Linked DNA regions of Arabidopsis thaliana. The protein of the gene in region 2 interacts with the protein of the main gene of each other region in a pairwise test. Each region holds a gene or a part of one and is shown on either strand. Other genes may lie near its edges. The genes, in order: PDH-E1 BETA and AT1G70340.

Evidence for each region.
Region 1: the proteins of AT1G70340 (region 2) and PDH-E1 BETA interact in a two-hybrid assay, tested with the Arabidopsis thaliana proteins (one large-scale study listed by BioGRID).

Annotation. Positions count from the first base shown.
Region 1 is NC_003070.9:10,583,293-10,588,297, forward strand, and holds PDH-E1 BETA (pyruvate dehydrogenase E1 beta), read right to left. Parts: upstream 3,389-5,005; 5' UTR 3,186-3,388; coding exon 3,077-3,185; intron 2,956-3,076; coding exon 2,849-2,955; intron 2,770-2,848; coding exon 2,738-2,769; intron 2,031-2,737; coding exon 1,058-2,030; 3' UTR 813-1,057; downstream 1-812. Other genes in the region: NUDX25 (nudix hydrolase homolog 25), read left to right, coding at 1-46, 134-228, 307-529; AT1G30130 (DUF1365 family protein), read left to right, coding at 4,374-4,672, 4,988-5,005. UniProt on the Arabidopsis thaliana protein: The pyruvate dehydrogenase complex catalyzes the overall conversion of pyruvate to acetyl-CoA and CO(2).
Region 2 is NC_003070.9:26,503,190-26,508,376, forward strand, and holds AT1G70340 (dicer-like protein (DUF936)), read right to left. Parts: upstream 3,484-5,187; 5' UTR 3,201-3,483; coding exon 2,471-3,200; intron 2,386-2,470; coding exon 2,291-2,385; intron 2,177-2,290; coding exon 2,085-2,176; intron 1,994-2,084; coding exon 1,378-1,993; 3' UTR 1,172-1,377; downstream 1-1,171. Other genes in the region: ENT1 (equilibrative nucleotide transporter 1), read left to right, coding at 1-349, 438-1,171; AT1G70350 (uncharacterized protein), read right to left, coding at 4,152-4,171, 4,626-4,744, 4,895-5,073.

The DNA.
Region 1 (5,005 bases), about 16 Mb from region 2:
GTTACAAGAAGAAACTGGTGTTGTTTCAGCTGAAATCGTCTCTGAGGTCGCTAACATTTAAGTTAACACTTGCGCGAACCGATATGAATCAGAGGATATATTTACTAATGTGGGTTCTTTAATGTCTAAACAGGTCCCAAATTGGTTGACATATGATTTTCCACCAGCAGTAAAAGCAAAAGTTAACCGTCTTTGGGGCGGTGAATGGCATGGTCAAGCTCAGAAATGGTAAGCCCTTCGATACTACTTAATTTCGTGAAAGCAAAGAATGTGGCTCATTGTTCTGAAACTTAATAATTCCTACAGGTATTTAGTGAGACTGAGGAACGATGAGGACGAGAAAGAGATCAATCTAGCGAACAACGAAGCGGATTCAGAGTTTGCGGAGTGGAAATGGGCGAAGCCAGAAGAAGTGGTAGAGCAAGCAGTGGATTACAAAAGGCCAACCTATGAAGAAGTCATCAAGACTTTTGGTTCGTTCTTAAACGACACAGGAAGAGCTGCTAAATGTAAATCAGCCAAGTGGTGATATAAGATACCAAGAACCAATGTTTGTCTTTTTATTTTTTTTGTTAACTGTTGTTTTTCTTTTTTTGGGCGGTTCTTTTTAGTAGAACCCTTTTGGAATGCAAAAGCTTTCTCTAGGGGTTTTTTACTTTCATTTTTGTAAATTGGTTATTGGTACGTAGAAAGTTTTTTTGTTTTATTTTAACATGGGGGTCATTGTAATAAAGTCGTTGTCTGGATTCAGAAGGAAATGAGTTGTGTATGTGTTTATAATAAGTGTAAAGAAAATTCTCAGGTTAAAATTTATTGTAACTAGCACCATGAACACATATAAAGTGTAAAGAAAATTCTAAGGGTCTAAATAAAAGAAAGTGGGAGATAAAATTAACAAACAAACATTCTGAGTTACAAACCATATTAAAAGACACAACAAAGGAGACAAACTTTAACAAAAACAAACCATCTTAGACAAATTCTTTAAGAACTAAGCTACAGAGAAAGGAAATGGAGAGGTAAATGATAAATAATGGTTCATCGGATAAATATGAATTTACTGGCAAAGCTGCTCGACAGCGGTCACGATCTGAGCCGGTTGAACCACGGTCCACTCCTCCAGTGTACCAGCGTAAGGTGTAGGAACGTCTTGAGAAGATAAACACATCACCGGAGCATCTAAGTAGTCATGAAAGTTCTCGTTGATGGCAGCTGTAAGACTTGCCCCAATCCCACCGGTTCTCATACACTCCTCCACGATCAAAACCCGATGTGTTTTCTTCACCGAGTTTCCAATTGTGTGAAGGTCGAACGGTTTCAGTGACCTGATGTCGATAACCTCGGGGTCATACCCTTTGTTCACCAGAGTTTTTGCTGCCTGCATCACATGGTACCTCATTCGCGAGTAAGTGAGGATGGTAATGTGCTCGCCAGGTCTGACCATCTCAGCTTCTTCAAGGTTACAGACGTAATCTTCATCCGGGATTTTCTCCTTGAGATTGTAAAGCAGCACGTGTTCGAACAGAATCACAGGGTTCTCGCTTCTTATTGCGGCTTTCATCAACCCTTTGGCGTTGTAAGGAGTTGAGCAAGCAACCATCTGGATCCCAGGGATGGACTGAAAGTAAGATTCTAACCTCTGTGAATGCTCAGCACCAAGCTGGCGTCCCACTCCACCAGGTCCACGGATGACAACCGGGATCGTAAACTGACCACCGGATGTGTAGTGAAGCATTCCACAGTTGTTGGAGATTTGGTTGAAGGCGAGGAGGAGGAAACCCATGTTCATACCTTCAATAACGGGTCTTAGACCAGTCATGGCAGCTCCAATGCCCATACCGGTGAATGCATTTTCACAAATAGGAGTGTCGAGAACCCTGAGGTCACCAAATTTATCAGCAAGGCCTTTGGTTACCTTGTAGGAACCTCCGTAATGGCCAACATCTTCACCCATAACACATACATGTGGATCTCTGTCCATCTCTTCTTCCAGACCTTCCTGAAGAGCCTCGAAAAGCAATAGTTCATGTCTGTAAATTCATACGAGAAGATTGGTCACACTTTGTATTTTTGACAAAAAAAAGGCATCATCATGACACTTATATTGAATATGAGCATGGAAGTTTAAAGGTAGATAAAGAAAATGTGCTATTTGTGACGACTAATACATGAAAGAAAATGCCATGGTGACATCATCATGGATTGCTTATGTGAAAATGAAGACAACACACAAACCCCTAACAGAAACATTCACTAAATGGAAAGTCGCATAATATGTAACAGAAGCCTAACCAATTGCCGTATGATGTCCAGAAATGTTCTTGAGAGTTAAACTATGTTCATGGGAATGAACTAAATGGTTTAACGGTTTAACCTAAACATTTGGCATCATAAGCACAACCAAAGGCATCACTAGAATGATTACTGGAAGCAGACATGCAACACATTAAGCTTTTGCCATCACTATCAACTATAGATTAGTGTTTTGACTACTCTAGAACTGGCTAGGATCCTACATCACCACACCCAATAGCACATAGTTAAAAACTTCCTCATCGTTATCCAACTTTGAATCCCCACTAAAATGTAATAAAACTACTGAAACAATCTAATCATTTAGAACAGAACATGAAAGATCCAATTAGAGATTTGTTCAAGCAGTGTCTAAATCCTTCAATGAGCACAAAAGAGTAAAATCAAAATCGAATTTGCAAAGCTAAAAAGGTGCAAAACAAACCCAGTGCTCGCAGACGTATCCGCCTCCTTCGTCTACAAAACAAAAACGTACATCATTAGAGATTAGAAGGAGAAACCATAAAAATCACAAAATCGGAGACAAAGACATTACCGCAACAGCATTTGGAATCAATTTCTGAGAGTGACGAACTCTAAGTCCAGAACCAAAGCTCTTCTTACTCGCATCAGATCCAGCCACTATATATCTCTGGCTCCTCACTGCATCAAAATCAAACAACGAAACTGCTTTAAGATCTCACAAATCCATCTCAATAGAAGCTCCAAAACACCAGAAATCGAAATCAGAGAATGCAGATCGATCATCAAATAAAATTCGAACCTGAAAGATTTGTGCGAGAAGGAGCAACGAAGAGTTTCTTGGAATCGACGGAATTAAACGTCGATAACGTCGTCGTAGCAGCTCCAGCTCCATGGATTATCGAAGACATTTTTTATATGCTCAAAGCTCGGGACAATTTCGAAGAATTTTGGACTGTTAATATAAATATATACAAGTGTATGCAAACAGAAAATGGCGATACGAAACAGTGACAAGCGGAGAAATCGAAGAATTAAATGAAATTGTCGAAATCGAATTAAATTATGTGTATTGTTGTTGTGCAATCAAATCCACATGTTTACATTGTTTTCATCGAACTCATGTGGCTTCTCTATTGTATAACAACCAATGTTAATTTAACACGTGTTACTTAACGACTGGATTGGCACGTGTACGTATATGATTTGTGGATTATCACTGGGTTTGCTTAACCACCTGGACCAACCTAATTACGTTAACTGTGAGATTTGAGGTTTCCACCGATCTAGGAGTTGATGGGCCTCAAGTGTCTTGGCCCAGTAATTAATAGATCAGTATTATCCAGTAAGCAAATTTTCGTCAAAAAAGAACTTTTTTTTTTCTCCACAAAGAACAAATTTTCATAAGCGAAATATAAACGTAACTAAAGCATTTACATTGAGTCTCTCTAGTCTCTACCAATATATTGTTTTGTATATTTTATACTCTGATTTGTAACACATATATGGTAAAATATTATTTTAATGCGATTATAAAAAATTTACCAATCAAATGTATGCAGTTATTTATTTTATTATCTGATTTTTTTTTAAAAAAATTATTATCTGATTTTCTAGTATGCAGTTTTCATTCTACGAGTTTTAGTTCTGTGAATTCTCATAATGCAAATTTTTATAAATTTGAGAGATGATTTAATTATTTATCCATATGCAAATACATATTATATACAGTGGTTTAGTAACGTCCACGCAACAGCCACGATTATACGATAAATACCCTATGATAATAACTGGTTGCAACATTAAATAAAACAATCCTTTTTGGCTTTTGGGTCCACACAACACAATAATATACTGTCACTGAAGATAACAATGGCCTCTATGAGACAAATTCTAAATTAATACTAACTTATAGCATTTTAAAACGGCATTATTAGATTCAAAAATAATAAAAGTAAATTACTCGTTAAATTAATACTTATCGTTAAACGTGGCATTAAATCATAAATATACCAAACCTCTGCATTTGAAGGGTCATCAATGTCAATCTCTGATTTTTGAAAAAGATCAGATAGAGATAGAGAGACAGAGGTAGAGATATGGAATTGCTCTTTCTCCTCTGTTCAATCATCTACACTTCAATCACTTCCATCTTCTTCTCTCTTCTCCTCCCGTTTCGCTTCCTTCTCCACCGTCTCCTTCCTTCACGCGCCGCCGTCGATCCTAATGTCTCTTTCTACGAAGGCACAGTCTGGCACGACCGTCTCCGTCCTGTCCGCCACTCTTTCCGTTATTCCGTTCGTTACGCACTCTTTGACCTCGACAAAGCTATTAACACACCGCCGGATCATTTCTCCGCCGACGAAGCTCGCCGTGTTTCTCGTACCACCGGGCCAATGTAAGTTTGTTGACTCGTCCAAGATCGGAAGAATCTGGATTTTGATACCTAGAACTGAAACTTTATAATGCGTAATGTTTTTGAGGAACAAACAAGATTTGAAAGATTCTGTTGATCAGGAGTTAGTTAGATTTGCAAAATTGAGTGTTTTTTTTAGTTTCTGTTTGGTTTTATGGTTATGTTTTGCTCTCTAACAGTGTAGTTTGGTTGTTTTTGTAATGAAATTGTTAGGTGAATGAATCTTTATCAGTTCAGAAATTGTAATTGTGATAGAGGAAGTAGTTTTGATGAATCTGTAATTTTTTCGTGGTGCAGATTTCTATTGACAATACC
Region 2 (5,187 bases):
TACCTCTATCCTTCCACGGCCGTCGATCGGATCTTCGCCGTTATCTACATGCTCGTTGCTCTTGTTTGTCTATTCGTTATCGTTGTCTTCTATGCACATAAGAGCCTCGCTAGCTTTAGAATCAATCTCGGTCTTTTACTCTTCGTAATCGCCTTGCTTGTGGTTCCTGTTTTGGATCTGGTTTATGTTAAAGGACAGGTCGGATTATACGCCGGATTCGATGTTACTTCCGCCGCCGTTGCCTTATCCGGTCTAGGTGATGCACTTATGCAAGGAGGTCTTATCGGTGTTGCCGGTGAAATGCCGGAGAGGTATATGCAAGCTGTTGTCGCCGGAACTGCTGGCTCCGGTAAATGTTTCATCTTCCTCAATAATGGAGAATGATTTGGTTGCTGTGGTTAGATTAATTTAGGTTTTTGGGAATTTTGGATGTGTAGGTGTTCTTGTGTCACTATTGAGAATTTTGACTAAAGCTGTGTATCCTCAAGATCCTGATGGTTTGAGAAAAAGTGCGAATCTATACTTTGCTGTGGGGATTGTTGTTATGGTGATTTGTGCTGTGTTCTACAACGTAGCGCATAAGCTTCCGGTGATCAAGTTCCATGAGGAGCGTAAGAATGAAGAACTAATCAGAGAGAAGAGCGAAGAGAAAGGTTCTTTAACCGGTTTAGCGTGGAGGACAACACTCTGGGATATCGTGACGAAAGTTAAATCTCATGGTTTCGGGATTGTTCTCTTATACATGGTGACATTGTCGATATTTCCTGGATACATTACTGAGGATGTTCATTCAGAGCTTCTTACAGATTGGTACCCTATTCTGCTTATTGCAGCGTACAATGTGTTTGACTTGGTTGGTAAGTGTCTGACTGCTGTATTCATGCTGGAGGATGAGAAAATCGCTGTTGGTGGTTCCATTGCTAGGCTCTTGTTTTACCCTCTCTTCTGGGGTTGCTTGCACGGTCCGATGTTTCTCAGGACTGAGATTCCTGTAACTATACTGACATGCTTATTGGGACTTACCAACGGGTACTTGACAAGCGTCTTGATGATTCTGGCTCCAAAATCGGTTCCACTGAGACACTCGGAGACTGCAGGAATCGTCACTGTGATGTTCTTGGTTGTTGGTTTGGCCTCTGGATCTGTCATTGCTTGGTTCTGGGTCATTTGATTCTACCAAAGCTTTGTTATCTGTATTTGTTGAATTCTTTAAGCTTCGACAAACTCAGCTTCATTAATCTGTGAATCATCCTGTGTGAATTGTTCGTTTTTCCTTCAGTAATATGTGAAAATTCTTCTTTCTACACCATGAACACAAAAGACTTATAAGCTGTAAAAGGCTACAACGTGTATTCAGTGTTTCTCATTGTAAGTGGTTCAAGGATTCTTCAGTTTAATTCTGAGCTTTCTAGTGATCTTTGATGCTTTTGGATGGACTCTGCGTCTCTTGTTGTTGTTGCTATCAGACTGTTCGACTTCAATCCAGTTTAAAACCCCGAGAATCAGAGATTGCGGAACCTTCTTAACGTCTGCATCATCAGGGCCTCTAGATTTCTTCATACCTTTCTCCAGAGCTATTTCGATGAACTCCATGAACCAGTTTGCAGCTTCATCCTCGATCTCCTTTGCTAACCTAATCGTGTTGCTTATACCGCCAGAAGCTGGGTTCTTGTTCTCATCATTTGATCTCACTGTCTTCCCTTCGCTCTGCTGCTTCAGGACAATCCGTCTCTTTGATCTCCTTTTCTCCTGATCAATAGAATTATAAGCGATTTCATGCAGGATCGAAGAAGACCCTTCTTCTGTTGGTTTCTGATTTTCGGTTCTTGCGTTTATGTTCTGTGACTTGTTCTCAGCATCTGGAGTAGCAGCTACTTCAATGGAAGTGAGTTCGCCAATGGTTTGTGCCATCTGCTGGTGAAACTCCATGAACTTCTCAAAGCACACCGCAGGGCAATCAGCTTTTGCTGATTTACTCAGATTGGTGAACGTCCTGTCCCAACAAAACCACATCAACACATTACATTCCAACTCAAATCCGACTAATAAAAAAGCGTAGGAAAGAAGAGTTTCGGGTTATATACTTGGTATGACGAACAACAATTTCCGTGATTGTAGCTTCTCGCAATGCCTGAAGGGCAACTTTCTGAGCTACCTCCCGAAGCTGAGTTGCTTCCTGTCACCAAAGTAACACAAAGAAGATTAAGGAACTATTTGAACTTTCAAGAAAGATATGATATTATTCCAAGCATCAAACTTCAATGAAGAACACAAATGGAGTTCAAATCACCTTGCTTAGTATGTTGAGCCTTCCTGATAAATTGGTATCTTTCTCGGGTTTTATCTTCTTCGAGGTAGACAAGGGAACAACATCTTCTTGAGCCTCTGAAATCAAGAAACAAGCATTGTCCTGAATAAATCATTGTAAACACACTAAATGATCAATAGAAATGTTAAAAGCAAAATATACCTAGAGAGGATTTGAAGGGACTAAAAAGAGAAGCATTGTTCTTTTTGGCCTGTCTGTCACAAACACTTCTACTTCTCGGAAACTTCGAAGCCGACGAAACAAAACAACTCTTCCTTAGCATCGCCGTCGCCGGACTCTCTCCTTCCAATTTCCCCAAAACCCCTCCACCAAAAGAGCATCTCACTCCACCTCTTCTGATCGGAGACGCTGCAAATCTAGCTGAAACAGACCTCTTCGCCGGCGTGGAATGGTCAAACTCCAACGCCATTGGTTTCACAACAAACGGAGACGAAGAAAAGTCGACGTTTTGTCCCCAAGATCCTCTTCTAGGCTTCGACCCAATCTCTTGATCAGTTCTTTCTTTCGGAACCACCAATGTCTCCGGCGTCCCAAGCAAGGGGTGCCGGCCAGGTATGGGTTTTGCCCCTTTAATGACAGGAACAGGGGATCCAGGTTCGAGCCGATCAACGTAGATAAACTGACCCAACTGCAACTTATTGCTGAGAACGACGTCGTCTTGATCCGAAGGGAGAGAGACGTAGATCGAGTGAGAGGAATCAGAGATTTTGATGAGAAACCCTTGTTTCGGCTCCAGAGACTTCTCGTCGAGATCAATGGGAACGATATCTGTGACCTGTAACATAGAGCTTCGGTGCTCTCTAGTTGGTTTAATTCCTGTTTTCATACCTTGGATTAGCTTTTGAAGAATTCCAGGTGCCAAAGCTGCCATTTTTGTTGAGCTTTTAAGATCAAGAACGATAGTTTCAGAAAATTCAATAACTGGGTAAGAATTAAGAAGGAGATGTTGATCTTAAGGATTTGCAGTTGCTAGGAGCCAACGGTAAGATTAAAAAAGCAAACTTTTTGAATCATGGCTTTGTTGCAACGGTCGAAATTGCTGGTAGATCTGTGTCGCAATTATTCTAATTTATATCCGTGATCATTTGGTTTAACACTTCACAAAAAGCAACGATGAGTCTTTTTAGTCAGTTCATGGATTTATAATTTATATGGCCAATTTGAAGAACCAATTTCTAATGGTTAAGTCTCTAGTATAGTGTATTTGGTGGTTGACACTTGACAGTGCATAGTTGGTGGAACCAATAAACATCGCATGATTCCGACTACAAAATTACAAGAAAGTCAGAACTGTTTCAATCACTTTTTCTTTACTATAAACAGTATCTTAATTGGTTTTGGTAAGGGAACTCAAACAATTTCAGCATAATGAGTAGTTTATTTGTAGGCCAGAAGTGCTAAAGTAACGAGATTACCAATTTAAGATGATAAATGTATAAACAAAAAGAACAAAGTAGGCCTTAGATGTTAGAAGAAAACAAGGGTCTGATTCAATTTCTAAACATAATTCACCAATAGTGATTCAATTTCAATCATGAACATTAATGAACGAGATTAAATAGCTTTAAGTCAGATTCACTGGCAGAGAGGTAATGGAAACCATGAAGCATAATGAGTAGTTTATTTCCAGGCAAAGTGTTAAAGGTAACGGAATCATCAATTGAATATGACAATTGTATTAGGTAAACAGAACAAACTAGCCCTTAGAAGAAAGCAAGGGTTTGTGTTTTTTCTCGATATCTCCAACTTCTAGGACAAACTGCAAAATACAGCGATGAAATGAAACAAATTTCTTGGAATCTATCAAAACTTGCAGGCCATGTTATAGTGTTGAAGCAAATCCTGCAAATATCGAATGCAAACTTAGATTAGTCACTGTGCAAATAGACCAACACAACACAAGTCTGAACAATCTAATCCACTGGTTCAATGTTTCGTAAATGTGAATCAACACATCATTTTACTACCATCGATAAGATTCCACTCTCATTAGGTCAGATAGACAGTGATAGGTCGTCACAATGGAGCAATAGTATGACAAGGAACAATTTATACAAACTCAATGCCCTTCTGCTACGTTTTCGTAATAAAACATGCGAAGAAAAAGATCATTAGCTATAAAGCCGATCACTTGATATACTATACAAAACCGATTACTTCTATTAGCATGTCAAGGCAGATCATTTATGGAATCCTATTTACCAATTGAGACTACATTTACTCCTAGTCTGGAAACAGAAATTCAGAATCAACTTCAATTCTAAACATAAATCATGAACACAAGTAAAAAATTTACCTTCTGATAAGCAACTCCAGTTTTGATTGCTCAGAGATAGCAATGAAGTGAGCAAAGCTGAAGCAGTAACACTATGTAATGGTATTAGTGAAATCCCTGCACTCAATTCCACAGGTACCCTAAACACAAAACCCAAATTTACATTTCAGAGATAAACCCTAATTCTTCAGCATAAAGCTCATACATTGTAGACGCAAAATCAAACTATTTCTCGATTGAAAACAGATCTATCGCCTGTAGAATCTCGGTTCTAGGATTCGATAGCTAACCTGGAGAATGTGAGTCTACGAAGTGAGGGACGAGTTGAAGAAGATGATCCATTCCCGAAAGCAATTCCGGCTGATTTTCCGATCTTCGAAGCAGAAGTTGCCGCTGATGAACGACCAAAGAGTATCTTCCCGGAGGATGACGATGCCTGAAGAGCTCTTCTCACGCCGTTGGCCGCCATGTTTACTCTTTTCTCAAACTCTCAAAAAAAACTTCGGCGACATTTCTGTCATTTACGAAGGTGAGGTTTTAAACCCGGGTCGGGTCGGATCTTTACGATAAGGACCCAGTACAA